Linked DNA regions of Caenorhabditis elegans. The protein of the gene in region 3 purifies or fractionates together with the protein of the main gene of each other region. This does not show direct contact. Each region holds a gene or a part of one and is shown on either strand. Other genes may lie near its edges. The genes, in order: let-418, hda-1 and mep-1.

Region 1 (12,665 bases), on a different chromosome or scaffold from region 3:
AGTTGGCACTAGTAACCAAGTATCGAACCCAGGATGTTGAAATTCGAAGTGTATTGTGTTGAATTGCGTTATGTCGATTTTCAAAAGGTGACACTACTGACGACATAGTAACTGTGAACAGAGTATTTTCTAATTATTGGTAGAACTTTTGATAACTTACCAAACATTACAATTACAAATAAATAAAACTGCACAGTTTCTGGCACTCCAATATATGAAAATAGACCCATCATAGATGATCCGATTGTTGGCAGCCACGTGATAGGTGTTAGTAACGTACTTGTTAATAAACTTTGTAAGCACATCCTGAAAACAGAGAATTGAAGCGCATTTAAATTCATGATATAATTTAAATGCAGCTTACCAAATGTGCATATTGAAATATGCCCATTTAGTAGAACCTATTGATTTCGGTGTTTTCTGTAATATACAGTACCCTGCTAGAACAAATAAAGGAATATTCAGAATTGTGGAAAGTTGAAGAGGATAGACAATAAAATCTGTTGAACTCATGAAACTTGTCGATTTTTCGCATACAGTGTAGTAATTCTTTTTGAAGTATTCATCGAGTCTGCTTTGTGCCGACATCGGAATAATGTCTAATGTTTTGCTGCATCGGGTTCTAGTTTGAATGACCAGTCATGCATTTACGATTTCCAATATTTTCGTCTATATCATTGAGTCCAGCCACGCCTGAATATGAGGTAATCAGTTACAAGATGACTTCATTCTGTTGTGAACTTTTTTCGGGTCTATGTTTCAGCAAGTCTCTGAACACGCGCAATTTGACAATGTCATAGATTCTGCATTTTCGCTGTTATCTGAAAATGAAACGTCTACCTAACGTAGCATGGAATTTTTCAGACAGGTTTAGCCGCGAGGAATCAGATTTTTCAGCCAAACATACGGTACCCGATCTCAACACGACAAATTTCGATAATCGCAGAAGGCTATGATTTTTTCGTATATGATTCCTTTAATTTTTTATTGAATAAATTTATTTTTTATTGAACAAAAGCGACATCAATAGCAACGAGAGTTGGAAATCATTACAGTAGTCATTAAAGGCTCAATCTTTTTTTCAGAACAAAAAATTGTCCCATCGAGACCAGTTACCGTATTCATTGACGCGAAAAGTGCAAATTTCTGAATATTATAATACAATGTTAATAAAGTTCCAAGTATTTAGTAGCGTTTGGTCCCTCTCCAAAGTCTAAACCATATGAAAAAAATCATGAAATTGATGATATTTCATTTATGATCGGTGATCTATGGCTACGAAACCAATGATGTAAAAATCAACTTGTTTTCTAATTTCAAAATTTCCAGATGACCTTTGAAGGATAACCGTTTCGATGATGTAACTGTAAATTTCATCGACAACATCAAACAAATACGTCATCGGAATATGAAATAGTTAACGCTTCTCTCTTCCTGTCAAGACAACAGAGAACGTCACAAATATTTGATATCTTCACACACATTCCACACTTCCTTTTTTGACTGTCGCCCACGCCGGAACCCTGTGTCTTCTGCGCGGTGCAATTGATTAATTACCCTATTCGTCAAGGGGAATGGGCAAAGAGGAAGCGAGGCGAGATAGAGAATGACTGGGTTATCATAGAACGGTCAACGTGTTGATGGCGAGGCTGCTTAGATTCATGTGAACAAGTTAAGACGAAAAGATCAGGATTAAACGTTTACACAGATTCATGACGCAATTATTTGAATTGCATTTCAATTGATGCAACTAAAAAGAGAACAATAAATAATATAATGGTTTAAAGTTTGAAAAAATACAGTAAAACCCAATAAAATTAAAAAGACATTCAAGTTTCCATTGGTTCTGGCTCATCTGTTGGAGCTTGATCTTCGGCGGAAGCTGGTTCGGCGTCGGCAGCTGTTTCAGAACTGACAGCAGCAGCAGCGGAAGTAGATGGAACATCGTTGCTATCGTCGGAATTCACTTCTGGAAATAGAAATACATTGAGTTATTTTAAGATCCATATGAATTAGTACTAACCTGCACTAAGAACTGGCGGAGCTTCGGCGCTATCTTGAGTCTCATCATCTGGTTCTTGTTTTACACCTTCTTCCTCTTCTGCCTCTACTGGTTCATCCTCTTCCATCCTTTCTCCATTTTCAGACATGAATTTACTGTAAAGAGCTGCAAACTTTGGTTGAATGCCATCCATCTGCTGGCGAAGTATTGGAGTTACAAATGGTCCTGGTGGTGGAAGTACGCTACGGTTGGCTATCGCGTCCTCGTCTTTTGTGGTCAGTCGCGAAAGAATTCTGAAATATATATACATATATTGACTGAAGCTTTTACGAGTTAAAACTTACTGTCTCTCGGTCATGTTGAGACGTTCGGTGACAGTCGCTAACTGTGTAAAAGTAGATGGAAGTCTAGACACGTCGGCCTTCATATCGGAAAGTATTTCGTCGAGCTGAACCAATGTTTTGTGTAGAACGGCATTCGCATTACGATTTCCAGCAGAACTTTCTTTGGCGATATTAGCTTGAGATTCAGCAATATTCTCTAAATCCGCAAAACGTTGAGCCAATGGTCCAACATTATCCGGCTGCAAGTGACGATTGGCGTGTGCAGCGCGACGAAGTTGCTCCTCAATCACAAGGGACTGTTCAATAAGTTTGAAACGACGTTGCATAAACTTGGCTTTGATGTCAGATCCTGTTGCCTCAGCGCCAACTTCCTTGAATGGCTCATTGAGAACTGAGAATCTGGGATCATTGATGATGTCATTGAAATTAGCTTGGAAACGTCCATATCCGTGTACAACAACACCAGCTAAAAGCCAATAGTCGTGTCTGCGGTACCAGATTTCATATTCTTTTCCGTTTCTTGCAACTTTCTCTTCATTGGCCCACAAAGAGTGAAGTTCAGTGAATCCACCGTCACAAATGTTGAACTTGAATGATGGACGGGCTGCTCTTGGTTTCTCGGTTTCAATTGGTTCTTCTTTCGGTTCTTTGGCTTCATCTGTATCCATTGGTTCGTCAACAGGAGCGTTTTGTTCACTCTCAGCATCTGTAGCTGGCTCTGATGTAGCTCCGTTAACTGTTTCAGTAGCATCTTCCTTTTCCATTGGTTCTTCCTTCGGCTCTTCTTTTGGTTTCGGAGTACTTCTTGAAGATCCTTGTGCCGAACCATTGGCAGCTTTAGCGAGAACTTCGTCTTGTATTTCAGGCATAGACCATTGGCCATTATATTGCTCAAATTCTTGAACCTTCCGCCGAACTAAACTCAGCAATCCGATTCGGCCAAGAACATGCTGACGATTAAGACCTTCTCTTGGAACTCCATCATTAAAGGTATCATGACCATCAGCTCCAGGCTCACAGAGATGTCGCATGAACAGTGAAGCATAAGCTCGGAAGACTTTTTCCGATTTGTTTCTCAGATCTCGAACAAGCCATTGAGATTGATGAGAATCTTGTGGAGGCATTCCCCAGCGCATAACAGCCCCGTAGAACGCCTTGCGTTGACGTGGATTGAAACCAAGAATCTCAACTTGTCCATTGACTTTAGCCATGAGTGGAGGCATTTTTTCTTCATCACGACGCCGCTTTTTCTTCTCATCGTAATCATCTTCATCAGAGTTCAGGCCGTCGCCATTGTCCGAACCACGGTACGACTCGTTATCATCGTCATCATCTTGGGTTTGGTTCTGAAAAAAATCATTAAATGTTTAATCAGAAATTAATCAGAAAAACCCAATTAATCAGAAAAAAAACAAACCTGCTTGCTCCAATCAGTTCCCATATTCTCACTGGCATAGTTGATTTGTTTGCGAACACGTTTTCCCTTTCCAAGCTTTTGCAATTCGATTTCCCTGTCCTGTTCGTAGTGATGCTTGAGCAGCTTCTCCCAATAATCTGGATCTGGTTCTTTCTCATCTTCTTTAATCACTTCCGTTTCCTCTTCCTCCTCTTCTTCTTGTCCTTCAGTCTCTTTTGTCTGATAGCTGGCCACCTTGAACGAGCTTAGATATTCGTTTTGCCATTCAGCTTTTTCTTCGCCATCTTCTCCTGCTGGAGTCTCTTCTTTGTTACTGCGATCGAGAAGAGCATCTACAGCTGCATCATCCCAAACAATTTCTTGTGCGGCAGCACCTTTCTTCTCCGAGCCTTCGCCTTCGGCAGCATCAAGATCCTCACTGAATAACTCTTCGGTTCCCCATCGAAGCACATCGTCCAGCTCAGTCTTGCTCATTGTCTTTCCTTCTTTTCCTCCCAATCCTGCACGTACAACCAAGTGATTCAAAAGCATCTTCTTCTTGGCAACTGAAGTGATTTTTTCTTCGACAGATTTCTTTGTTACAAAACGATAAATCATAACTTTATGCTTCTGTCCGAGACGATGTGCACGAGAGAAAGCTTGAATATCATTGTGAGGATTCCAATCAGAATCATATATGATAACCGTATCAGCAGTTGCCAGATTGATACCAAGACCTCCAGCTCGAGTGGAGAGCAAGAAAATAAATTGTTGAGCTCCAGGAGCATTGTAACGATCGATAGCATCTTGTCTCATTTGTCCCATGATACTTCCATCTATTCTTTCATATCTGTATCCTTCATATTCACATAAATCTTCCATTATGTCCAGCATCCTTGTCATTTGTGAGAAGATAAGCACTCGGTGGCCACCATCCTTCAGCTTTCTCAACATTTTTTGAAGAAGAACAAACTTTCCGGAATTCTTGATGAGCGCCGTTCCTTCATACATTCCGTTTTTCTCTTTCGGAGCCTCCAACTCTGCCTTCACAAAAAGATATGGATGATTACAACATTTCTTCAATTCCATAAGGACGTTCATCAATGACATTTGAGTTCCTCCATTCTTCACATTCAATGCATCAAAATTGCGAGTCAGAATATTTTTATACCATTTTTTCTGCATAGCACTCAGTTCAACTCGAACAATTAATTCTGATTTCGATGGCATGCCAGTCAACACATCAGCTTTGAGACGGCGAAGCATGTGAGGTCCGAGCAAGTTATGAAGTTTTTCAATTTGATCCTCTTTGGAAATCTCATTGAATTCGGCAGTGAAAGCCTCGAGCTGACTGAAAAAATGCAATTAATAAAATAAAATACACAAAAATTCAGAAACTTACTTGAAACGTTCTTTGGACAAGAAATTGAGGAGATGGAAGAGCTCTTCTAAATTGTTTTGAAGTGGAGTTCCGGTGAGAAGTACGCGATAATGAATAGTATATTCATTGAGATTTTTGAAGAACAACGACTGATTATTCTTTAACCGATGAGCCTCATCAACAACAAGAGCTCCCCATTCAATGGAAGAAAGTATAGTTTTATCCATATTGATAGTCTCATAAGAAGTGAGCAACACGTGGAACTTCATATTCTCTGTCGTCTTCATTTTTGAAGCCTTCGGTCCGGATCGAACGGCACCTTCAACGAAAGAAAACTCATGTTCTCGGAGCACAACACGAGCATCTCTAAGACCAACATAAGTGACCACATAGAAATCAGGACACCATTGTTCAGCCTCACGCTCCCAATTGATAATAGTTGATAGAGGAGCGGCAATCAAAAATGGTCCTTTGCAATGGCCTTCCTTCATGAGACTGTATAAGAAAGTAAGCGATTGAACAGTCTTCCCAAGACCCATTTCATCAGCGAGAATCGCATCAGTTCCGTTGGACCAACAATGACGAAGCCAGTTAAGTCCTTCCAGTTGATATGGATGAAGTTTTCCTCCGGTTTCCGTAACGTAGTCGGGCTGAACTTCATATTTTTTACGGATGTCAATCTTCTCACGCTTCTTCTTTTTCTTTTCGTCTTCTTTTGGAGGAAGACCTTTAGCTTCGCGATGTTTAGCAATCATCTTCTGCACATTTTTAGGAATATCCTCATTTAATTTGCTCTCACGATGTTGCCAGTATTTAATGATTGCTTCTTCGTAATTGGCAATATTAGAATCATCTCGTTCCCAAGTGGCTTGATCATAGCTGAGCTCCTTCCACTTAACAAGGTAATCCTGCTGCGACTTTGCATATGATTGATGATTGATAATACGATGAATTTGCATCCATTCCGGTTTGATACCATACTGGTAGAACCGCTCGCGCAATTTATAAGGATCATTATCAGAATGATGACGAGACGTAACGGATTCTTCAAATTCTGGAGGAGCATCGGAATCATTTTTGCGCCAATATAGCAATATAAGCTGGAAAAATAAACATTAGTCAAATGGACTTCATCACTTAAAACTCACCATACGGAAATGAACTTCCAACAGCATTTCGGAGACCCAAGAACACTGCCAGTATGATAAATACTTCCATTTCACGAAGAATTCACGCTCACGTCTTGGTTCCATTTTCCGTGGTGGTTTGAGCATCGCATCGTCACTCGAAGCCTCTTTCCCAGCTTCGAGAGGTTCTGGATACGGGATTTCCTTCCATCTCCAGCAAAGGATTTTTTCGATTTTGTGTTCCGGCTTAACCGTCTCGCACCGTGGGCACGACCATGTTTCTTCTTTCGGAACTTCGGTAAGTGGAGGATCAATACAATATGCGTGGAATGAGCATACACAACTATCACAAAGCAGAAGATTCTCAGTTTCTTTGCAGATCTTGCAGAATTCATCGTTTTGCTTCGCCGGTTCTTCTTTAACTACTTCTGGGCCATGTTCGATACAATGAGCACAACTCCAATCACCCTCTGGTGGTTCTTCCATATTTTCATCAATACAGACTGTATGGTAAGCGCGGGGACAGGTGTCACAAAGAAGAAGTTCTCCATCTTGCTTGCACTCCTCACAGTAGTCATTATTTTCAGCTTCTTCGCCCTTTTCTAATTTTGCTTTTTTAGCGGCACGAGCAGCTTCCAATGCTCCTTTTTTCTTCTCTTCTCTTTCCGCTGCACGTTTGATACGAGCATCTTCCTTGTCTTTTACCAAATCGTCCTCCAGTTGTTCTTGTTGCTTAATAAATGCCTCAAACTCTTGATCACTATCAGGAGCATCGGAATCTCGACGCTTTCTCCTTGCAGAACGAGTCTTCGTTGGAGCTGATCGTGGAGGGATGACGGGTGTGGAAACTGCTGGAGTCTTTGAACCTCTAGCTTGTTTTTGAACAGGTTTTCCTTGGGCAGCCATGTGATCTTGATACTCTTTATATTTGACTTGGAACATCGGGTACATCTTGGATACGTTGGTTCCGGGGTTTGCCTCCAGTATTTGTGGCTTGATGATTGAGGAGAAAGTCTGTAAAAAAGATGTTTAATTGGAGGAAAACAGAAATCGAGATTTAAAAAATAAATTTTGAATAATCACCTTCAGATTAGAAATTCCTTGAAACTCCTCTTCATCATAATCAAATTCGACGTCTGTCAATCCGATAGCAGCACAAACTTCTTCACTTGTCGAATTATACGGATCAGGAATCTCAACCTTGCTAGCTGCGGCAGCACTCTTTTTGGATCCTTTTTTGCCTCCCTTTCCGCCTTTCTTTCTAGAAGAACGCTTTCGCTCAGATGGTCCAGCCTCATCGCCTTGCTCTTGTTCTTCCTCTTCTTCTGTTTCTTCAGTTGCGTCTTGAGTGACAGAACCCTCTTCCATTGATTCTTCCGCGTCCACTAAAGACGGATCTTCTTCAGTTGACATTGTTGAATTCTCAGGAGAAATACAATTTCTGAAAATTGATTAATATAAGTAAGACATAAATAATTGCAAGAAGGACATTATAAAGAGAACAAATTAGAAAGCTCGAATGCAAATCAGCAAAATTTGAAAGTGTGAAAAGTCTGCAAACACGGCGACGAAATAACACACAGAGTTGAGTGTAAATTTTGGGCTGATAGATTAAGCCTTAATTTTTTCTAAAAAACGTAGAAAATTTTGAAAATATTAAATTCCTAAAGTAGGAATTTAAATTTAAGCTCGTCAAGCTATTTTAAATTTTTTAAAATTTATTTTACAACCTACGTTTCAAGTTTTCTAAAATCTACCATCGAGAAAATGCAATTATTACAAGAAAAGTTAGAAAAAATAGCCGTATTCAAAAACATATTTCAAACAAATATTGATTCGAAACGGGACAATTTCATGTCCCCATATGTCCCATTTGACGAGACACTGCGGGGACATTGCAGAACGGGGACACAGCTCGTTGGGACGGTGGTCAGAGAAAGAGAGACGAGAGGAGAGTGATGGAAATTCGAATGACCCGTCTTCGCGCGTAAGAGTGACCAAATGCAGCGTCGTGTTTCCCGCAACGAAAATTATTAATACGTGGCATGTCCCTTTACTAATTTGAGTTGAGAATTATGTTGTTCACAGAAAATTAAAAACACGTTGGATTACGGATTAAAAAAAAAACTAGTAAATTAGATCTATTTCAGGATTCAAATCAGGTAAAAACTGTGAACCGTCCTGATAGAATTAAAATTTTGAATTAAAATTGGGAAAATTACGAGCAAATATTTATGACGATTTTAGAAATATACTTGTATACTTAGAAATATCAAATTGCGGAAATTGAGAGGAAACGCGAATCCAAAAAGCGAGCCAAAAAAAAATGAAAAAGAAAACATTTGAACAAAACGCATCTGCTGGCAATGGAGCGCACCTGCATAGCTCCCGAAAATAGGTTTCTTCTTCGGAACTTTACTAATTTTTAATTGAATCAGCATGTATATACAAATTCTTATACAAAGATATACAAATTCTTTTCAGAAACTAGGAAAACCTTAGAAAACAGGGAAAAAGCTAAAAAAAAAAGAACGGGACAGTAAACGTTAAGACGCACACACAACATTTTAAAATCAATGCACTTAGCGCGGCGAGACCCATTCGCATAAATGGACCTCCCTTGAAAGCGCAAAAGCGGAAAATGATTCAAATCGATGCACGGCAGTGAAGAAAAAGATCTAGAAGTTCAAAACACGTGTTTATGCGAGTTAAAAATAATTTAAAAGAAATAAAATGTTCATAATGTTTAAATCAAGGATAAACAAATTTACCTTGACCTTCTGAAAACGTGGCAATTTTAAATGATTGAATAACATTTAATATTTCGAATTAACAGTATAACGCTTTAGATTCGCCCTATTATAAGCTTCTAGAAATTATATCTTAACTTCTGAAAAAATTTCTCAAACTGCTAGATTTTCTACAAAATTGTAAAAGTGTAATTTGGAAAATAATGTTCGAAAACAGTGATATTACGGGAACACAGAATTTTGAGAATGCGTATTGCACAAGGCATTTGAAATAGAGCCCGTAAATCGCCATAAGAGCTACAGTAATCAGTTAAAGTGTTACTGTAGTTTTCGCTATGAGATACTTTCAAATATGTTGTGAAATACGCATTCTCAGAATTTTGTGTTGACATAATAGAGTACTCAAATGTCCAAACTTTAAAATGATATATCTGTCAACTTACCACAAATTTGGTAATTTGGCTTTTACAGAAATCGACTAATTCTGAATATTTTAAAGCAAGATCCCCAAGTTCCCAAAAACAAATTGTACAAAGGAAATATAACCAACATCATTTTCAGGCATGTGTCATCGTTTTTTACTCAAAGTTGTCAAATTTTAATGTATCTCCAACCCAAAAATGTCCAGTCAATAAGTAAACATAAACTTTTGATTCAGTTATTTTTTTTCAAAAGTTCAACTGCCGGAAACCAGATAATCCGAGATGCTGGGATTCACGTGAACCTCTCCACCCTTTGTCTCATGGAATTATGGAAGATAACAAAACAACAAAACCATAACATATTACAGTACCCCTCATTTTTCGGTTTCTTTTTTTTTTGTTCTAATGTCTCCGTGATAAGCGTTTCAACGACACCCCCCTGATTTCATATCAGATTATCAGAGAAAGGCGCGTTTTTGTTTTGATATTGAATAAGAGAGCAGTTTCATGGAGTTTGGTTTAAACGAAAAATTACAAATTACGTGAATTTTCAAATGAGAAGTCAATGAGCGGTCAGAGAAGTGTTGAATGTCCTTTTGAGATAGATTGTGTGGCATTTTTTTTTTGAAAATTACTATTTAATATGCTTTTGATCTTGCAAAATTTGATTTCTCGAACGTAAGGAAATCTTCCAATCTTGCCAAAAATGTTAATAATCTAAACCGCATTATACTATAAACGTTAAATCAAATATATGGTAGAATAATAGTTTGGCTACCAGTTTGTAGGTTTAATGGCTAAACGATGAACTAAGCAATTTTCTGGAGTGCTATCAAATACTATAAAGTCTAGAGTAGCCCATATGTGCGATATAGCTTTCAGTCGTTTTTTTCTATTTATGCACCTAGTCACTTTTGGAAAGCTTGTCTGGTGAGTTTACTTTAAATCAATTGCTATTTTCATAGGAACAATGGTCTTTCAGATTGGTAAATTTTACAAAATTGTACTCTAAGCCACCTAACTAAATAGCTGAAAATAATGTATGGATTTCAAATTATGAAAACATGAAATGTAGCCCAACTGTGAAATATTAGAAATTCTTCGTATGGAGCTCATCTGCGCATGGAAAAAAACACTTGAAAAAATACGATCGTGATTATTCTAGTTTCATTTAAAACCAGTAGAATTTTACAGTGCGAATTAAAAAATCAGCTATACGAACGACAGGTGTACAACTAGTTTTAAAATAAAAATTTATTCGAATACGTTCTGAATGTTTTCTTGTTAATTTTGAAATATTATATTTTTGTGTTGTAAAAATATTGCAAAAAAAATTAAAAATTTCTTGCAGTTTTCCTGAATCTGTAGTGTTTTACTGACAAATTGTTGTACATTGTTTTCAAACATAGCTGTACGTTTTCAAAAAACTTAAGAAAAGTTAATTTTCTCAGAACTCAATAAACCACTTACCCATGGAACGGAACTACCGGATTGTATCTAGTAGTGGTTCAACTCTAACAGATTATATCTCTGTAGTCGTTTGTCCTATTAAAAAATTGTCAATTGAAAAAATATTTGCAACGTCTTTTCTATCGTATTGTAGTTTATTATTTATTGGTATCTTTGAAATGAACCGAGATAGAGCCTTTCAAAGTGAAGTAGTGGGGTACAAAACTAATATAAATTGAATATGTAGTTCGATCCCTCTGACCAAAAAACGTGGTCTAAATTCCTCAATTTTCGTTTTTTGTGTCATATAACGTAGTTTATATCTTTTTTCTCTCAATTCATATCTCACCACAATTTCCGTCACAGATGTCCAAGTTCAGCGGTCACAAAATTCTCACATATCATCATCACTGACAGTAGCTTTCGTTCACTAACCACAAAACACATTTTCAATTAGTTTTATCATGCTTTCTCTAGCTACCCCCTCGCACTAAACTTCTTATCATCGAGTTTCGCAATAATATCACTTTCTTCACGTTTCGGGGGAATCCTCTTTTGTCTGGTTGATGGGAAGGATACAGTACCCGGAAGATATAAGTGACTAATTGAAGAAATATGAAGAAAACACCCAAACTTGTTTATTTTTTCTCCTAGTCTTCAATGACGGATGTTCGTTTTTTTTCATGGTGTTTACCTTTTCTAACCCGCTTTTGCAAGAGTAGAAGATAATTTGAAATGGGAGTAATCGGATAACCAGTGAGTTATACATAGCTTTGAATATAGTAAGACGGAAAATATCAACGAACCTAACGAAAAATTGTTCAACCATATTTTTAATATCTAGGTAAACAGGAAGTAATGAACATCTTCAATTTTGCTATCAAAAAAAATATGACGGTAAAAGTAAAGCTCTCTTCTAGCACACTCTTCTAGCTCACACTTGCACTTTTGAATTAAACCTACATACGTTAGTTGAAAGATGACGTCTAAAATAGGCCCCTGTAAAACTTCAGCAGCAGAGGAGCACCTTGAGCTAAAAAAAAGTAGACCTGAAAATATTTCAGCTTCAAACGTGGATTTTGCAGATTTTAGATGCTTTCAAACATTCTGGAACATCTGGGAATTTTTGGTATTTTTTTAATGTAATTTTTTCAATATTAAAATAAAACTGATAGTGAGACTTTTTTCACCCACATCTATCTTTTCGATTTTTTCTACGAAATTTTATTTCCAAAAAAAATCTAAAGTTATTCCCAGGTTCACAAAACATCCTAAAACCATGACGTGGAAAAACTTCTGTTAGGCAATACAATACAATGGTTTATTTAGTTGTACAAAATGTTTTCATTTTGTTGTAATGACCTATTTACTTCAAATATTCGTACACAAACTTCTTCATTTAAGTTCGGCCAAACTTCACCTAGAACATATGTTTCCCGGAAAATTGTTTTATAAGAAGTTGGTTACTAATTTCTAAATTCAAAATTCAAATCTTGCAATGTTTTCAGCTTTGAAAGTTATAGCCCCTCTAATTTTTAAACACAATTCTTGTGTCTTCATCATTTTTGTTTGAATTCTACTTCCCCAATCTCGTCACATATCATTGACCAATGTGTACTCGTTTATCACTCGAAAAAAAAATTTCATTGAAACGATATGAACTCATAGACAGTGTCTCTATCAGTATGCAAACTGCGTTAAACCCTCAATGATTTCTACGAAAAACGTCGTTTTCCAGAAGTTTGATAGCTCAGCGTCTGTCGCCTACGCTTCTTATCACCAAGTTTCAAATTT
Region 2 (9,392 bases), on a different chromosome or scaffold from region 3:
TCTCTTGCAATTCCATATTCTTCTGTCACTTTTTCTTCTTTTTCTTCTTCGAAGTGCTTCTCATTGACGACAGGAGGACAATAGACTTCTCATCAGGAGGTTCCCACCGGGCTCTACTAGATTTCAATTCCAACTGGACAAATAATGACACACAAGAATCTGTGTGATCCGATGTCTTATAAGGGAAAAAGAATTGGAAAAGCAATTGGGGGAGGAAGTAAAGATTATTTCGATTAAATGGAACTGAAAGAGAATGGAACTAAAAATTGATAGAGAGAGGTGTGTGTGCGTGAGCAAAAAGCGCTCGAGTCGCCTGTCTTTCTCCTTTTTTGCGGATATATAATCATTGATATCAAGTTGTGTGTGTGTGAGTGTGTTAGGAACAGACGAATATGAAAATAGCGTGAGAGATGAAGAGACACCAGACATTTGCAGCTGGATGAAAACGACTCAACCGGGTTGAGCTGGATTTTCAATTTCCAAACAGATCAGGTGCCTTTTATGAAAAAGTGATGTAAGGGAGGAAGAAGAGGATTTGAAAAGAGGAAGTTAGTGGGAGAAAAAAGGTATTTTTGGAATTTTTTGTTGCGTGATACTGGTTTTTAATGCCTTTACTTCAGATTTATGTATATGTAGGTTGACTGATAGGTTTGAAAAATTTTAACAAAAAAATATAACAACTTAAAGAGAAAAGTATAGAATACGGTTGTTACAGTAGTTTGACCGCAGTCAAGTCTGATAAAAACAAAAAATACTTTGAAATTAATTCCCGATGGATTTTTTTCGTGTATTATTCATACCAGTGAGCCTGGGCCACATTTGAGTAAAGAGTTTTGAATACGTAAACTTTTTTATGCTTTCAAATTTTATCAACTTTTAAAGTCAATTTTATTCAAGTTCTAATATATTTTATAAAGTCTATAGCAAACTATGAAAATTATACCTGATGAATTTGCTAGACATACTGCAAAAAATTCCCGGAACGTAAAAATCAAACTTACTAGTTATCCGATTTTTTGTCATTTTAGGATGTTGAGTCCATACTAATTAGTCTCAAGATAAACATGATTAAAACTAATCGAAAATTACTTTCATTCAAAAACTAGAACTGAACAGTTCAAAAAGTTCTTCGGCTCGGGAGTTGGTTTATCTTATCTGTTTACAATAGTAATAAATGGTTGAAACAAATGTGTCATTATTTTGATAATTCTAGGTGTTCAAACTCCCGATGTTTAGAGATTTATTTTCTAAATCCTTTTTAAACATCTACTGTTATTGTATAGATGTAATCTGATTGAGGATATGAGCTGATTTCTTACAGATTTCCTTAAAAAATCTTCACTTCAACACACTCACTTCAAAAAAACTATATCCTAGATCAAAAAAACAAATGAATAATCTTTGAGAAGTATACATATATGTTGAGGATTGGGAAATGATTCTGATTTTAATTCTGAGGACATATGTATTTTTAAATTAATGATCAACAAGTTCAAGTAACGTCAAGTACTTGACATTTCAAAATTTTTCTCCAGGGATTCTAAAAAGTCTAGTCGAACAAAAAAAGCAGACAGTTACATACATTTTGCGTGCTTCTAGATTTATTTTTTTGTGAAACCAAGTTCTTCAAGAATCACCAGAATTTACTTTTTCTCACTAAAGATTATTGAGTTTATAATTATTTTGTAGGTATCATGAGAATTAGGATCTATAGAGGTATAGTCTACAAGTATGTACCGAGAAAAGCATACCGAATACCCCTGTTTCATAACTTTCTGACTACTTTTTTCCCAACATCTTCACTAACCTGGCCTTGTAGACGAATACATTGTGAATCTTGCCTGTTTCGACAGGCCAACAGCTCCAGCACGTACTGCCGCCATCTTGTTCCTGAATTAATTCTTATTGCCAATACGAAGAAAAAAGAATAAAAGTGTCCAAAAAGAGTGAGCACTCAAAAAATGCATTTTTGAGTAGTGGCGCGAAATGGATTTACTTCACCCCGACGATGGACCGGCGGCGCACTCGAGAATAATGGAAAAAATAAAAGAATAGGGCGGGTACATTCTGGTACCTGCAATATTGTCAGAAATGCATGAATTGTGAATGAAAACAGTGGCAATTTATTAATTGAAAATATCAGTTCCCAAAAAAAATTGAACAGAATCCAATAAAACCTGAACGATTTTTTCTTTTTTTTCCGACGCAAAAATTTTCTCTGGAAAGAGAAGAGAAATTGTGGGTAAAATGAGCACATAGAACATGAAAAGTTGAGGGATTAGGTAAGAGTCTTGTTTTTGTGCAAATAGCTAGAATTGCGAGAAAGAAAAAAAAATACTCGTTGACTTGTGGGAACGAATTCTGATATCACCATATACTGCTCACAGCAAAAATGTTGACTGATAAGTTGGTGGCAATGTGTAACAACACGGAAATGAACAAGTTACAAACTTGCAGATAAACAGGAAAAGTTGGAATCTTGCAAGATGTTAAAATTTTAGGAAAAAATTATTTGGGGTTTTCTCAGTAGCATTCGCAAAAAAAAAATTTATGTGTGTTTCAAATTTTGCAAAAAAATGTTTTTATGGTTAAGCTACAAAATTCCACGGGGTTTTCCAGAAGACATAGGTTTCAAAAAATTAATAGGCTTTTACCAAAATTATTCTAAAACTTTCTAGTTCGTACTATTTTGAATTTAAATATTGGGAGCTTGATTAAAAATTTCTATCTCTAACTGAACATTTCTATAAATGTGGCAGTTAATGTTTTTAAGTTATATTTTAATTTTTTTAATGAGCACAAACAAAGTGTATGTTGTGTTTATTGGAAGACACGCTCTACTGTTGAAAATAACTTTGAGACAATTTTAAAAAATAAATAATTTTTTCGGGTTCAAGTAGGTAAATATAAAAGTCCAACTACTGATATAATTTAGTTGTGGATATATAAAAATAAATCAGCTATATGAAAGGAGTATAACCAAATTTTTATATTTTTCAGGCTTTCTTTAAACTAAAAACATTACTTTTGAACTATAATGAACTAATAGTAAGTGAAATGGAAAAATTCCAAATTGAACTTTTCAGATAAATATTCTTTAAAACTTCAGGTCAGTACAGTCATTTTAGTGTATTTCTTGAAGGTTTGCGCAAATCCAAAAAGTAAATGCACGTCTTTACCTTTTTGGTTCATTCATAGCTTTACTTAATACATTTACCACATTATTGGCTGAACTTGCCTATTGTTAAATAATGGAAAGCAAGGCAAGTGTGCCATTCAAAATGACATCATTCATTCAAACCATAGAAACACTATTCATATTCAAAAAAGAGAGGAAAATAAGCGTTGGTGAAACATAACGACATGATTATTTGGAGGAGCACATGATCAATTTTCAATTTTATTCGAATTTCCGGTATCCGAGATTAAAGTGATGATTTTATTGGATTTTATCGATCGTTGTTTTACGAGGAAAATGGTAGATAACTCAACGAGAAAAAGATCATGTTCAAAAGTTTATGACTCTAAATTCAAGTGTTCCAATTAGAAATATAAGTATTTCAATAACGAGGAAGTAGACAAAGGGGGAAGTCAATAATGAAAATAATTGATTCCAGATATTCTCAACTCCATCAATGAAGGTCAACTTTTGCTCATTAACAAGGGCACTACATTTATTTCTGTTTTAAGTGGGAAATTGAATGGACGCAGATGTACATAGATATTTACTTCATTTAATTTTAGACCACAATGTGAAAGAAAACAAACGACTTACTTTCAAGATCTTTGAAATTTGAGAAGATAGCAAAATACCATAGAATAAGACTTTTTCTTGGGATATTCAAGAAATTCTGGTTAAAATATCATTCTTGTTATAGATGTGAAAACTGTCTAACTAATAGTAAGACGAGTAGTATAAAGAAATTTGGTTTATTCCAGAGCCGTGTTCAATGTTCACTAATTTTTTTAAAGAAAAAAGTCCGAAAAGCTTCAGAATTTTTCCTATGGATTAAACTATAGTTTAAAATATATATCACAACATGCCTAAAAGTCTGTAAAAAACCGTCTTGAAGTGATAATATGGTTTATTGGTAAAAAGTGTAACGGTCTTTTTTAAAACGAGATTCTCAAAACTTGGGCTTGCCAGCTCTATTTCCGTTATTACACGGATCTCACATTTCCTACATTTTGTCGACAAAAAATTGTTCTGGAAAAATTAATATGCGTTCATTTTGTAATAATACGATTTCAGTAAACTTTAAAAGCTTTGTATCTCAATTCGTCAATTTCTATCTGAAATTGTACCCGAAGAGACAAAAACCTTTTTAAATATATTTTCAGTCTTTTTATTAAACCACTTCACTTGATTTTTTAAAGAATTTCAAAGTATTTCAAATTTAGAAAAAAAATTTAACGAAAATTCTTTGAATCCATTGAAAATTATGCCAAATTGTGGCTAACAGAAAATCTCAAATAGATTCAATAATCATCTAGAAAACTTTAAATAATATTTTCTTAAATTTTATAGTAAATTCGTGAGTGTACAGAAGATTACGTACAATTTTCTCAATGGGTCTCGCCACGAACTCCGTTCTCTTGGTATTTTCAGCTGCCAAATTAAAAAAAAAGAGAATAGTACACTTCTCATGTCATCTCATTTATCTTTCGCTGTTTTCTGAAACTTAAAGGTGCACAGAATTAATCATATGGGTCTCGCTGCGAGAAAAGTTTGAAGTATAACTTTTTGATGTACATTCTAAACTGTACACTTAAACTTTTTCCTCGTGGCGAGACCCATCCGAATAAACCCTTGCGGCTTTACGTGTGACGTTGCGATTAATAAACTGAAAAAGAGATGTTCAAAAACCGGTAATCCATTTTTAAAGAGTTAAGTTCAATGGAGGACAAGACACATAAAACTAAAAAACGAATGTTCATCAACTGAAATTGAGCTTCTCCCTTCCTTCTTCTTTTATTCTTCATGCACCTCCCCTTCTGCTCAAGCTGATATCTAACCGGAAATCGGTTACGTTGCGAAATTGAATATCCTTTTTTTTCGATATTTCTGAATTTTAGACTTGAAAAATGAACGACAAACAATGAAAAGTATGAATGAGTGGAAAGAAAAAAGAAAAACAAAGAAAGAATCGAAACATGTTTTCATCTTTTTTGCATTTTCAACAACAAGAACCCAGTAAAAAGCTAATTTCTCTCTCCGTCTCTGTGTGAAAGGAGTGCTCGGAGAGCCGATTCGATTCCATTCCCAGGTGGGGCTAAAATTTGGATAAGTGGATTTTTATGATGCAATTTTTGTTGGTCTCCGTTTTGGAGCACACCATCCAACATCAGATGAAGACAGACAAGGAATACAATTGAAAATAGAAATGAGAATTTATTCTGTAATATGAGACCACATGCGTAGTCATCATAATTCGTGTTATAATTGCTCGCTTCCAGACAATAATTATGAAGCAGCTGAAACTGACGACATAAACGATGTCAACTGCAAAAACTTTAGTCTTCTTCCATTCGAATTCCAATGTGACAAATTCGATTTTTCCAATTTCCGAATTGAAGATAGACGTTGCGCCGGTTCCAATCGAGTCAATTTTATTAAATAAATAAAAACGAAGAAATTCACCAAAATACAAAAAAGTGTTCAGGATCTGACTGTGGAATTGGAATTGTGTGCCAGTAAAATGGGGAGTGTGGGACGACAAGAGAAATGGAAATCGTTGAAGGGGGTAGATTAGATGTGGATGTGAGGAGTAAGGATGTTGAGGAAGTGCAAAACGGGTAAAGGATACTGAGATAAAAAAGGATTAATGGGGAAAAGTGAAGAGATCTTCCAAATAAAAGTGCTTGAATTTGAAAAATAAATAAAACAGTTGGGATTTGGGCGGAAAATTAAATTAGATTTAAGGAAAATCAAAAAGTAATACTCATTTGACAAGGAAAAAGTGGTGTACAGTGATTGAATATTATTTTCAGAGGAGATACTGAATTCGACGGCGGCACATTTTAGTGTTTTACTCTGTCTTCTGACGCTTTTCACCACCTTCCGACTCAAACTGAGCTGCTCTCTTCGCATCGCTCTCGTTTCTTCGATCATCTCCCTCACGCTCACCATCGTAGAAGTCTCCATCGTCTTGAATCATTCCATCGGTAATTTGTGGTGGTAGTCGTTTGTCGGGATTAGCTTGGTCGGCGATCAATGAGTCATCATTCAATGCAGAGAGGGCGTCTTCTGGGATCGCTGAAAAATGGAATAATTATGAAGTGTTCAACAAACATCTAATAATTTTCTGACAGATTCTAAAAAGTGAACAAAAATTCGTTCAAAACGTACGTCTCATTTGAACACTTGGAACAAAAGTGAGCTGCTCGAGATTGGCGATGACGTCAGTTTGCAATTTAGCCAGCATATCGGAGCTATTTTCATTTGCTGCATTCGACGACTCGATGTGAAGTCGGTAGTTTGGTCCAAAGTATTCGAAGTAGTCATTGTATGGCAACTCATTTGGAACTTCCTTATCGACGGCAATCGAGGTTTCGTACGTCCAACAACGTGCCACATTTCTTGGAGTGTATCCACCTCCACCGACCATCATAAGTGGAACGTTGTAGCTTCGGAAGAAACGAGCACATTCTCCGTGGCCTTTCAAGGTCAGATTGAATGGTCCAAGTCTATCTCCGTTGAGAGAATCAGCTCCACATTGAAGAACAACAGCACAGGGATCAAATCTCTCCATAACCTTTGTCATGATTGGTTTAAAAATACTCTGGTAAGAGACGTCGGTGATTCCATCGCGAAGTGGAACATTGACTGAATAGAGCTTTCCTTTTCCAGCTCCTATATCTTTCAGGTCTCCGGTTCCTGGGAAGAAATCTCCATATTTATGGAATGACACTGTCATTACTCGATCAGTCGTATAGAACGCCTCCTCTACTCCATCTCCGTGATGAACATCAATATCGACGTAAAGTACTCGCTTGTGGTACTTGAGAAGCTCGAGAATACCGAGAACGATGTCATTGGTGTAACAGAATCCGGACGCCTCGCTTTTCTTGGCGTGATGGAGGCCTCCCATCCAATTGATAGCAATGTCCACCTTCTGCTTGTTCAATTTAGTGGCAGCAGCCAGAGAACCTCCCGAACTGAGTTGGCAGAACTCATAAAGACCATCAAAGAGAGGACAATCTTCTCCAACATTGACTGAAATGAGACAATACATTTAGTTTTAAAAAGAATATAACTTACACTTAAGCATTTGTTTGTTGAAGGATTTCAGATTATCTGGATTCGCACTCTTCAAAAACGTCATGTACTCGTCGCTGTGAAAACGAGTCATGTCTTCGAATGATGCAGGGAATGGGCGCTAAAATTAAACGTTTACAATATTTCAATGAAGAAATATTACTTACGAAAATCTCTAAATTCCGGTACAGACCATAGTTGAGAACGAGATGATGGGTCATTCTGATACGATGTGGCTTCATGACGTGCCCTTGACCATAATAGTAATTTCCAATGTTGGAGTCATAGTAGTAGGCGACACGGCGCTTACCGTGCTCCATCAACGGGCCGTTTGAGTTCATGTTTGATGGTCGCAGTAGACTGAAATAACAAGATTGCTCGAAGAAAAATAAAATGAAGAGAAGGAGAAGGTGTAAGACAGGTTATGCAGTATTGATCGAGTTTTTGGCTAATTTTTGGTAATCGATATAAACGCGACGTGAAAACGCTCATTACTATAACACATTTTGATCAATAAACTGAATTCGGCAAGATCATTGAAGCGGAAAAATATAAGAATTGAGGTTTTGTAAAAACTTTGAAGGAATATAATTTTCAAAGACATATACTTAAACAGGTGGCTGTGGTTTTTTGGAATAATTTAGAGCACTGGAAAATTTCGCCAGTGCCAAGGAATAAAAAATTCTGACAATATGATATACTGTCTTTTGGGCCTTGTCTTGAAATTATTTAAATTTTCTTGGCACAATTTCTACAGGAATCTAAACTAGCCAGCCACAATCTATTATCAAAAAATATCAATCGCACAGGCCACATGGCTTTTGATTTTTATTTCTTTTTTATTTAGGCTCCTCCCATGATTGACCTTTAGTTTAATTTTTAAATTCACTTCGGAAATAAAGTTGTGGGAGGAGCTTAAATAAAAAACAAAAGCCACGTGGCCTGTGCTATTGATATTTTTTGATAATAGCATTTTACGAAATTGAGATTAATATTTGAGAGTGAGTTCTCCAATGAATTTCCTGGCGCCATTGCTGGAAGTATTTTTATTTTGAATCGAAAAATGTTTAAAAAATATTATTCAGTGCCTACAAATCGATATTTTCTTCCTTGAACGGTGGGTCTATTAGACAGGTGCAGCTCAGTGAAAATAACTATTCGAAACACTTCAAGCGTCGTCTTTTTATTATATTTTGAACAAATATAGATATAATTCTAGTAGAAAACAATAAGAAAAACAGAAAAGTGAGAGAAAAACGAGGTGAACGGTGAAACAGTTTTGAACGAGAACAGGAGGCAGACAAAAAACGCAGCGTCGTAAGTGTGTGCGGCGTGTTTGCACACAACCGCGAGCACGCACAATCTTGCAAAAAGGGGCGGGACGAAAACCGCCGTCAGTTTTTGGCTTCCCAATTTTTTATTTTTAAGCTAAAAATTGCTCTTTTTGAGTTTTTTTTCGATGTAAAATATTGATAAATATAAGTTATTTTGTTTATTTCTTGCAATTCACGTTCAATTTTTCCCCACGCTCTCACGATGTTGAATTATGTCAATTATCTTTTTTTTTAGCTTAAAAATATCAATATTCAAATAAAGCTTAACTACATAATCATTTTTAGTTTTGTAGGTAATCAACTATGGTCGTAGGAAAGCTCTTTGAGGCAGCAAAGTGGACTGCCGAGACAGTCAAAGGAGCCGCCGTCGTCGTTGCTTCTCCAAATGCTCCAATCCCGGCCACAGACCTTCATCCACGCATGCCAGCCCGGCCATGGACCGCTCAAGAATACGTAAGATTTCCCGGAAAGTATGAAGAAAATAAATAATGACAATTTCAGTTGAGAATGTGGTCCTGGCGCCATTGCTGGAAGTACCTCCCAATCTTCCGTTTCTACATTTACTCAGGAGTCATTCTCTACGGAGTCTACAAATTCGCCCTGCCAAGTGAGTTGATGATTTACTTAAAAAAAATAGTATATTTCCTGATTTTAGTCTGGCAACTTCGTCTGGCACGATGTTGCATTAAAAATTTTTGTAGTTTATTTTAAGTTTTCCTGAAAATAAATTGACGAATTCAACTGATTTTTATTTTAATTATTGCAGTCAAGCCACGCCACATGGTTCAATACTCCAAAGG
Region 3 (10,455 bases):
TTTTTAATAGCTTGCCATTGAAAAAAAAGACATTTCTATTTCTACATAAATTCAACAGACTCCGCCCATATAATGGTTTTAATGCTTTTTCGCATCTTTGGTTCATCTAATTGTTGAAATTTTTAACTAAATAAACAAGTGATCTTAAAATTTTAAAATTATATTTCCAATTTTATTGTATTGGTTTTACATGGATAGAAAGTTAATTTACACGACTTATGCCATTTGCTTATGACATTTCATTTTAAGCTGATTAGTTCTCCTACGTTTGGTACTGAGCAGCTTTGAGTATTTGCGGGTTGCAGTTTTACCAATTCGTAAAATCCAAAATTTTTATTCGATATTATTTAATGGTTTTTTTCTTCCAAACAAATCAAAATTGACAACACCTGTTTTAAAAACTTATATTCCATAGAGCATTTTTTCACTCCAATTTCATACAAAGCGACCTCCTTCTTTTGGTTTTCTGTGGTCCTATTTGGTTAGAAATATGATATCTTTCCGTGTCCCTAGGTGCATTTTCTCTTCTTTTTCAAACATAAAGAGACTGAAACCAAAATGGACACATTCTGAAAAAATAATTATTATTTCTTTTGATTTCTCACCTGCTTCAACTAAAATGAATCGGAATATTCCGAGGAAACGTAGTGAGGTAATTTAGTTTTTTTAGTTTGGAGTTGAGTATGTGACTATGTATGTACGTAATCTGAATTTCGAAGATGGTGGTGAAGCCCACTTAGAAAATACTTGTGTACTTTTAAGCTGATGTTTCTCGTTTTCACAAAATTACGATAATTTAGAGCCGTTGTAAATTTAAAAAGGTCTGCAAAACCATACTTGAAATATGTCAAAAACAAAACACTTTAGAATTGTTTTGATATTTTTGAAACTTTCAGTCAAAATTGTTTGGTAAATTGTCCAAATCTTTATATTTTGATTATAATTATTGAATGGTGGAGTAATATAACTTTCACTTTTTGGCTGTAAATGAAGAAATTCTAAGCATTTTTGATAAGTTAATCGTTTTAGGATTAAACTGGTGATATTCCATTTTTAAATATAGTTTTTGTTTCAAGAATGCAACAATACTTAAACTTTTATATTCGCCATAAAACTTCTGACTGAAAATCTGATATAGTTCTGAAGTTAGACACTTTTAATTACTTCTAAAACTCTTATATCAATTGTTCAAAACTTACCACAAATCCTCTTCCCGACCTCTTATTCTGAAATTTCTGTAGAAAGTCAACGGTCAACCGGAAGAGGGCGATGAGCCGACAGTATCATCTCTTCTGTCCTCTTCCAATTCTACTTCCCATCATTCAAACTCTACAAATCGTCGAATTACACTGATGGACTTTTTCGACGTTCGAAAATTTCAATCATCGCATCGCGATTTCGTTGTCAACGATGGTCGGCTTCACGTGGTTTCAGGTACTGTAAGAGAGATACAGAGACGCAAAGAAAACCACTTTTTTTTAAATTAAAACTATAATTTATATAATTGAATTCAGTTTCAGATTATTCCCTTATTGCATTGCTTCCTGTCATATTAGTTGGATTATTGATAACAACTATATTCTGTGTCTATAGATTTCGAAGGTGGAAACATAATAAAAAACAAGTAAGGATTACTGTAGTTGTATCTTGTATTTATATTCCAAATTTTCAGCTAGCCGAATTAAATGCATTTTATGAAATTGTAGAATCATCGCCATGTTTAGCTTCTGGAAAACCTTATCTAATACAACATTGCAAAGATGTAGAGGTATTGATTTTTTGGTATTTTAAGGAGGTGGGCGGTAGGCTCTCTCAGAAAAGCTACAAAACTGCAAATTTCAATAAGATATTCCAACTATTAAGATGAAAACTCAATATCATGAATTTGTAATTTTATGAAACACGTTCTTAAAGGCCCACAGTTTTGTTCGAGTGGGTCTCGCCGTGAGAAAAAGTACATGGTAGCACTTTTTAGTTAATTTTAGTGCCCGCTCCAGTATTTTGTTCACTATGTTACAGAAGATAAAAGCTAAGTAAAAAAGAGACCGTAACCCGCTATCAGAAACTTGTTCTCGCGGCGAGACCCATCTGAATAAATCCATGCGCCTTTAAAACTGCGTTTCAGAAATTGGCAAAACTACAATAGAAATTTTAAAAAAAAACATTTTGTTTTAAATTGTATTTCATGGCTTTTAAATGCTTTCTAACGAAATGACACATAATTTCTAATAAAATTTGTCTCAAATGTCTCTTAATTCTGTAGTTTGAAAGTCAGATTTGTAGATTTACTGACAAGAGATTTGCACCGCTCATTTTTGATTTTTACGAAAGATTAGACAGTTTGACCCAAATTGCCTAAAAATTTAAATAAATGCCTAAAAATTTAAATAAATTTGAAAGTGACGGATTGAATTCAAAATTAGTGCTTCAGGCTCTAGAGGAAGTCGGTGGATGATAATCCACCAACGTTGACAACATGAGGTAGCTACCTCAGTTTCAGATAAAAATTATTTGTATGAAAACATTTTTTTTTTCAGAAATCCGAATGTGATCGAATAACTCGTGCAGTTTGCGTTCCCACTCAAAGTTCAATATTCTTTCAACCAATTCCACCGAAAGCAAAATCAGTTCGATGTAACAGTGATGTACTGAAAGCAGTGAATGCAAGTGAAGTAAGTATTAAATCAAATAAAAATATATTTGAACAATTTTTTATAGGTATTATTTCATTTTGCTCAACTACCAACAATCGAAAAAATCAATAATAATAACAATAAAAAATCATTGCACTTCATTCATCGAGTTTAGATTTTCGTGATTCCTCTCATCCATCTTCGCCATTTCTCTTTTCAAACCGGTGTCTTCTATTTGATCATGTTCACTTTTAAATTTTGTGCCTTTTATGTGAAACCAGCCAATGAATTTTTGATTTATTCATTGAATTTTATAAACAAAACAAGCATGTTAAAAATTTGAAATCTAATCAGATTTTCTATTTATCATGCAGATACAAAGACATGATAATCCACCAACGTTGACAACATGAGACGCGTCAGTTTGCCATGAAGACCGATCTTTTAGGAATGAGTTTTCTACAAATATTAAATAATTATTCTGGTTTTTAAAGTTTTTTCACAATACCTAAACTCCGTTTATCATGAGTCATCAAGACTAATCGTCCACCTTTCCTTAAAACTCGTTTCCATTCTGCGAGAAGCCTCGGGTACAGTAACCTGTTATCTGTGGTACTTCCTATCTTCTTGCCAAATCTGAAATATAAATGTTTTTAAGTGGAAAAATCGTTGAAATGATTACGGTAGATCCGTGACAAGTGCATCGATTGAATTATCGCGTAGTGGAAGATTTGTAGCATCCCAAGTGAGAAAGTCGCAGTTTGATCGGGAGCTCGATGAATTCGCCGACTTAAAATATTTATTATTTAAAAATGGCAAATTTTCAATTGTGGCTAATCTACTCATTTTTGAAATAATTTCGACACAAATTCTTCGTTTTGCTTCTAATTTAAAAAAACAACTATTTTTCCGGCAAATCGGCAAACCGGCAATCTACCGAAAAATTTTGGGAAACTATGGTTTTGCACATTTTTTGTGAAATTATGGAATTTCAATTTTAACAGGAAATGTTTTAAAAAGGCACAGTTTTATCCCTCTAAAGACTTTCGGCAAATTGATGTTCGGAAAACGGCAAATCGGCAATTTGCTGAATTTGTCGACAAAAAATTGCCGAACGCCAAATGCGAGACGAAACGAATAATTTACGCCGAAAATGATAAAAACACGGAAATGGGCGGAGTTTCGAGACGAACCCGCGGTAATTCAAATTTTCGTTTTTTCTTACCCAATTCTGTAGACATCTGCTCATTGCCATCTCATGATTATCTCCACCCAAAAATAATGAATTTTTCCATGAAATTGCCCCTTCAATCGGAATAGAGCCACCTCCACACATTGCATCGACAATAATATCTCCTGGTTTTATATCAGCTAATTGAAGCATGCAATGACACATTGTAGATCTCATTGTAGTTGGTCCATACGCACAGATATTACGTTTGAATAGAGATTCTTCGTTCAGAGCCATCATTACTGTCATCTGAAAATATGAATGAATTAGAAGAAATTCAAAGAAAACAGCTGACCAGAAATTCTACAAAATGAGCCAGCGTGGAATATTTTCCCAATTTTTTTCATTAAAAGTTCTTGATAGAATACTGTATTTAAAAAATTTGATTTATCTGAAAATTTTTTCCAACTAAAATGCTAGCTATTTTCAGATAAAGCAAATTCCTAAATTTTAATGAGAGATATTGGGAGCAAGGGTGCGAAAATTTTTCGATTTTTCAAATATCGAAAAATTAAAAAATGTATTTTATCGTTTTTTCGATTTTCAAAAATTATCTTAATATTTTGGTCATTATTCCTCTTTTTAGAAAATTTTTATGTTTTTTCTTATCTAAATATCAATATATTAGATTTTAAAAAAAATCATATTTTATGGTTGATTTTCTGAATTTTTTTTTTGGTTTTTGAAAATCGAAAAATCAAAAATTTTCGTTTTTCGATTTTCACTGAAAAAAATCGAAAAATTCCACCATTGATTGGGAGAACACTATCTCATTTTGTAAAATTGCAGGTACACCGATCTTACATTATTCCGATCAATCCTTAATACTACTTCTATATCGAACTCTTTGACACTACATTTCCAACCAAAAGCATTATTAATTTCAGCTCCAAACTTCGAAGCAGCATCCATTGAACTGAATTTGTGAATCTCTTTCTCTCCACATCGTTTGCATGTTACTCTGAAAAAAAAGTCATCATAACTTTTGAAAAATAAAAATTATTAGGAAAAAAAATAATTGAAATTTTATTTCAAAACTAAAATTTTGAATTGTAATTTTTGTGAGATGTACCAAATTTTTTCAGTTTAAAACCACAATAAAATTTCGAATTTTTAATTTTTTTTGAAAATTTTAATAAGGATTTTTGATATTGATTTCAAAAATTACCTAAACTTGGGTGAATCGTCCGTAACTTCACTATATATTCGATCTTTTTTAAATTGTTGAATCTGTTTCAAAATCTTTTCACTTCCTCCGTTAATCGCGTTTCCACGTGCCAATTGATAAGCTTCAATTGCCAATTTCCAGTTACAAAATGAAATTTGCGATTGAATAGTTTTCAATGCATCTTCTTTTTGCATTTCAGACAGCTTTTCAATTGTTTCTTCATAAAAAACCATATAAAGATTATCGATTGATCGAAGTTGCAGAGTCTCGTTTACACGTTCCAGATCTATTGAAAATCTTACATTTCCACGTCCTGGATGGCATTTTTTAGGCGAAAATAATTTTGAAATCTGAAGGAACTCGAGTAAGATATTTTATCTAGTTTTCAGGATTTACCTCTTTTGCTGCAACTTTTTCAAAACCGGTGATGACAGCAGCACAGATTTCAACGGAGTCTGTCATTTGTCTGAATATCTTTCGTATCTGTTGAAATAGATTCCTCCAAATATTATGAGAAAATCTGAATCTTATTTCTGAAAATAGTTTCAAAAAGAATGGTTTGTAAAGGTGATAATATTTATATGATAGATATCTTCCAAAAATCTTAACTGGACAAATGGTAAAAAAAGTATGAGATGGGGGAGAACAACAGACGTATGAAGTGAAAGTGTATACTGATCTGTCTTATGGGGAATTGCAATTTGATTTTACATGATAATTGTGGGGTAGTTAGGTTTTGAAAAAAAAATAGGGAGTTTTGAAGGTAGGGGAAGATGCGAGAATAAACCAGATATCATGAAGAGAAAAATTGGGGAAATAAAGTAAAGTACTGATTGATTTCGGTTCCGGAACCCGCAATAGAATGTGTATATCAATGAAAGTGGGAGAACTGGTGATTTAAAATGATTGAATGTAAAGAATAAGAGAAATAATTGAGATCATTGTGAAGAATGTTTCCAGCACTCATTCGTAGAACGGGATAAGCCATTCGTTTTCCTATTAATCATCCAGAGTAATACAATCATCTTTTTTTGCTGGTGTTGATGTCTTCTTATCTCCTTTTGGGTGATTTGAAGTGAGATGGGCTTCCAGAGTCTGATAACTCGAGCATTTGAACGCGCACACATCGCACGAGTACATGATTTCAGCCGAGCACAACTTCACTTGATGATCAGCTACCAAGTGTTGAAGCATGTTGAACGCATAGTTCTTGCCGCATGTCTTGCATCGACCTCCGTCTTCCTTCTTTTGCGCTTTGAGGAGCAGATCAGCAGTGACGAGACCATGCGACATCACCAAGTGCCGCTCCAACCCTTCATAAGTCCAGAATCTGTCACGGCATCGAGAACATGCCAGTGGAGCTCCTTGCGACATGTCCTGCAGCACTTTTCCAACCATCTGCTTATGAGTAGTCTGAAAATGTGATGTTTAAGATATTTAATAATCGGTTTTGAAATTGAAATAGAAACGTTTCTTAAAATTACCTGAAGATGCTGTAGATACTTCTCCTTTTCCTGCACTGACGCATCACAAATTTCGCATACAAACGTGGGAGCTGAAGAAGAGCCAACAGTAGCATGAGACGGCGTAGTAACAAGTTTCGAACTTCTGTGTGTTGGCGTCTTTTGACTGTTCTGGCTTCTCATGGAGTTCACCGCAGCCTGAAGTTGTTGAGCTCCTTGTTGCGACTTCAAAGCTGCCATTTGCTTTTGGAGAAGTTGAGAAACTGCCAGCGAATTTCCTTGTTGACCACCTCTACGCAACGACGCTTGCATTGCTGAAATATAAATAATTATACAAAATACTTATTTAAAATATGTTTAGCTATTACCTGCAATCAGAGTGTTATGATTCACATTTCCTTGATTCTGCTGTGCACGTTGAGCCTGCGCTGATTGTTGTTGCAGCAGTTGAGCCACTTGCCGGAATTGGGCCGCTTGCTGTTGCTCACGAAGACGAGCCTGTTGCTGTTGTTGTTGCTGTTGTAATTGTTGCTTCCGTAAGAGTTGCGCAGCGGCTGCAGCTTGTGCTGCTTGCTGTTGATGCAGAAGTTGCTGTTGCTTCTTTTGTTGAGCTTGCTGAAGAGCAGCTTGTTGCTGCTGTTGAAGAATGCTGGGATCCAATTGGGGCCTCTCCCAGAGCCATCTGTTGATATAGAGATGATCGTCTTGCTTCGGCATCATGATGTTTCGAATGCGAATGTAGTCCTTCTTGCACTGCTTGTAATGCTGCTCACGGACACCTTTGAAATTGAAGTCTTCTTCGCAGATTGCACATGGATACTTGGACTCCTTCTCTTCCGATTTTGCAATAACAAGATGAGTTTCGCTGTAATTAAATGAATATTGAAAGATGAAAAAAAAAAAACTTACAAGTAGTGATCCTTCATTCTTTGCTCACTCGTGTCCGTCTCTTTACACATGGTGCACTGGAATTTGGATCCTGTGAAGTGCAAATTCTCCTTGTGAGTGCTCATAACCAGCTTTGATTCCGTCTGGAATCCACAGACGTCGCATCGATGCATTTTCAACTTGTACGGCTCATTTTTGCGTTTCAATGTCTCCCAAACTGGTTTCAACTGCGCAGCGACTTGCTTATAGGTTTCAAGATTTTTTGGCACCTCTGGAAGATTCTTCGCGTGAACTATATCACAATAGGTAGCTTCTTGAACGAGATCCTGTCCAATGTCCACGAGCAGTTTTGTCATATTTGGAACAGGATTATGTTGTTTCAGCTGAGCTCTCTCTCGTTTCTCGGAATCACTCAACTTTGGTCTTTCTTCTCCAAACATCCTGTTGATAACCTTCGTCAAAGGCATTTCGGGATCGTGCTCAATCAATAAGTCGCAAACTTGACTTGGTGGGAATGATATTGTGTTTGGGAGAACGAGAACTTTGTCCAGGATCAGCTTCCGAACCGACAGAGGCTCCTTTTGAACTTGCGCATTGATTGCTCCGAGAAGAGTGTCCAGAACTTTTCGGCTTTTGCTGGATGGTTGATCCTTCTGCTCCTTCACATACTCTTCCAGCTTGTCGAGCAATCTCTTCTGCGCCTGCTCATTGTTGTCCTCTTCTGGAACGCTTGTCGCCTTGACATCATCAATTTTAGCTTTTTTAGCTGGGGCAGGGGTAGAAATTTCCTGAATCTCGTCATCATCGTCGTCGTCGAGTTCGATGCATTCGACAGGCCGCTTCACACCCTTCCCATTCTGTTCGACAGGCATTGAAGAATCTTCTGGCTCTTTCTCTGTAGCGATCTCAGTTGTTCCGTTTACGGAAGGTTCTGGCTCCTCTTCATCTAGCACCTCCTCAGTAACTGAAAATAGAAAGTTAAAATTAAACTTGGTAAAATTATAAAACACACCTGTTCCGTTGGCAGTATCCTCCGACTTTCCGTTCGGCTCCTCAGTGATTTCCATAACATCGCCATCATCGTCTTGTTCAATCTCAGATGATGCCACAGTCACTTCGGAAGCCCCCTCATCCTTTTTACGCGCTTCCTCTTCGATTGGAACCGATGTAGATGCAGCATCACCGTTTTCATCAGATCCATCAGGTGAGGGATCCGTAGACTCTTCGGTGTCATCTATCTCGATCACTTCCACGTCTGCAGATGCCGCTTCCTCTTTTCCGTTCTCTTGATTTCCGTTGACTTCGGAACCATTCGCCGCGTCGGCCATCACTTCGCGCTGTTCTGCCTTCAGCTGCTGAAAACGTTTTATTCAGATTTAAATTCCCAAAACTTTTCCTCACCTCAATTGTGTCTGGCTCCGAATCTGAGGACGATTCACCAGCGCTTCTCGGATCCGTTGGTTCCACAGACATGGAAGTGGTGTTGGTCGTTGTGGCGAGTACCGTCTCGTCGGCGGTGACCATTCTGGAAAAATAGAGTCTAGATAGTGAGAAATAGGCAAAGAGAGAGTGATGAGAAGGAAGCAAATTAGGACAGTTACAGTCGGAGAGGTGGGAGATTCAAACTGGTAGGAATAAAATGCGCGCGCGCGGCAAGCCAGATTTGAACGCACAAGAGAACCAGCTGTGGTAAGTGACTGAGTATCAAACGTGGTACGCAGCCAAATCGGCCTCTCTCCTCCCCTTCCTCGGCCGCTGGTCGCAGCCGCCGACGCTGAGAAGAAGGGTGAGCAGCACTCGTCCTGCTCGCATGCGTCTCTTCACTGGCAGTACTCTCTCATCGGTCCGTCCTGGTATTCCGCGTCGGGAGCGTCAACAGAATCATGCTTCAATCACCAAAAAATAAGCCGGGCAACTTGTAGCAATTGGAATTTACAAACACATTTTGTTAGAGCGCTGCGTACTTCATTATGATTCATCCGAAAAGTTCATCAAAATGATTTACTGTAACGATAAAGGCAGATAAATTTAAAACAGTTAATTTTAAAAGTTCAAGCACGCAACCTAATTACACAATCTGATATATCCATTATACTGATTCTCAAAGCGAATAAACCGGGGCTCACTATTAATTACGAAAACCGAAAAGTTTGAACACGTCCCACCCGGGCGGTGCGGATGGCGACGGCGCGGTGTGTGAGGCGAAATGATGTGTGTATGTCATGAGTGTGTGAGCGTTCCGTGAGCGCATGAATGAGTGTTTTGTGAGCGTGACGTGCGTGGCGACGGGTTGTTGTGGTCTCGCCATCATAACCTTAAATGGTCTAAAAATTCATAACCGCCATTGTCGGTTAGGCCGGGTGCTGTCTTTATGGGCTGCGAACTATCTTCTACCAGGAAGACGCCCGTTCCTAAAACTTGAGAATCAGCTAAATATTTCTATAGCGTTTTCTAGGAAATTTCTACAGGCCTTAAATATAAATTCCGATTAAACATTAAACGAAAATCTAAGATGTTGAAAGGATCGTGTTAGGATCAGCGCTATATCAGCTGGAAGTGTGAATTCCTTTGCATCTAGAATACAAATGATAGTAACCTGAACTAAATTCGGTGCATTTCAATTGAAGTTGGCGTCTTTCTTCATTCTCAAGTTAAATCGAATTCTCGTAGGTTTGTAAATTTTTGATAAAAATTAGAACCTGATTTCGTAATTTAGGTTTCTGTGAGATTCAGCAGTTCTAGGATACATTCGAAAAGTTTGTGAGAGAAAAGTTATGACTATTCATGTTTTGAAACGATAATGACCTTATAATCATGAGGATCAACATTTCTGAGGATATACTACTCGCTGGGCACTATAAACTAATGGAAAAACTGCATTTCTGAAAAAAAGTGACACAATGAAGAAAGATATTTGCAAGATCAGTCAATGTGGGATTGACACCGTTGTATTTATTAATTGAGTATTTCCTCGGGTCTCGCCACGAAATCGCAACAGGTGCAGTTTCGATAGCAAGGGAGTGAACGTTGGTTCTCAGCCACACATTCGCTCAATTTGAAATTTTTGTGTTT

The links.
Region 1: the proteins of mep-1 (region 3) and let-418 purify together in Caenorhabditis elegans (affinity purification with western blotting, with the first as the bait; 2 studies listed by BioGRID). This does not show direct contact.
Region 2: the proteins of mep-1 (region 3) and hda-1 purify together in Caenorhabditis elegans (affinity purification with western blotting, with the first as the bait; 2 studies listed by BioGRID). This does not show direct contact.

What each region holds. Positions count from the first base shown.
Region 1 is NC_003283.11:5,821,859-5,834,523, reverse strand, and holds let-418 (Protein let-418), read right to left. Parts: upstream 7,692-12,665; 5' UTR 7,664-7,691; coding exon 7,334-7,663; intron 7,265-7,333; coding exon 6,272-7,264; intron 6,224-6,271; coding exon 5,145-6,223; intron 5,094-5,144; coding exon 3,764-5,093; intron 3,693-3,763; coding exon 2,347-3,692; intron 2,296-2,346; coding exon 2,024-2,295; intron 1,970-2,023; coding exon 1,830-1,969; 3' UTR 1,693-1,829; downstream 1-1,692. Other genes in the region: srh-76 (Serpentine Receptor, class H), read right to left, coding at 1-111, 161-306, 365-588. UniProt on the Caenorhabditis elegans protein: Part of a NuRD (Nucleosome Remodeling and Deacetylase) complex which is implicated in the synMuv B pathway that negatively regulates specification of vulval cell fate.
Region 2 is NC_003283.11:14,523,615-14,533,006, reverse strand, and holds hda-1 (Histone deacetylase 1), read right to left. Parts: upstream 7,619-9,392; 5' UTR 7,600-7,618; coding exon 7,426-7,599; intron 7,380-7,425; coding exon 7,262-7,379; intron 7,217-7,261; coding exon 6,350-7,216; intron 6,257-6,349; coding exon 6,030-6,256; 3' UTR 5,596-6,029; downstream 1-5,595. Other genes in the region: kcnl-4 (Calmodulin-binding domain-containing protein), read right to left, coding at 1,808-1,883; ril-1 (RNAi-Induced Longevity), read left to right, coding at 8,896-9,045, 9,094-9,199, 9,359-9,392.
Region 3 is NC_003282.8:11,523,095-11,533,549, reverse strand, and holds mep-1 (MOG interacting and ectopic P-granules protein 1), read right to left. Parts: upstream 8,909-10,455; 5' UTR 8,908-8,908; coding exon 8,785-8,907; intron 8,739-8,784; coding exon 8,396-8,738; intron 8,348-8,395; coding exon 7,405-8,347; intron 7,361-7,404; coding exon 6,864-7,360; intron 6,810-6,863; coding exon 6,517-6,809; intron 6,446-6,516; coding exon 6,032-6,445; 3' UTR 5,596-6,031; downstream 1-5,595. Other genes in the region: M04B2.7 (uncharacterized protein), read left to right, coding at 1,242-1,434, 1,515-1,624, 1,673-1,768, 2,538-2,672, 2,719-2,808; thum-3 (THUMP domain-containing protein), read right to left, coding at 2,980-3,092, 3,142-3,269, 3,316-3,422, 3,859-4,113, 4,669-4,825, 5,033-5,382, 5,429-5,494. UniProt on the Caenorhabditis elegans protein: Has a broad role in development, specifically in the genetic pathway SynMuvB that negatively regulates specification of the vulval cell fate. Required for fem-3 3'-UTR-mediated repression in the regulation of the sperm/oocyte switch.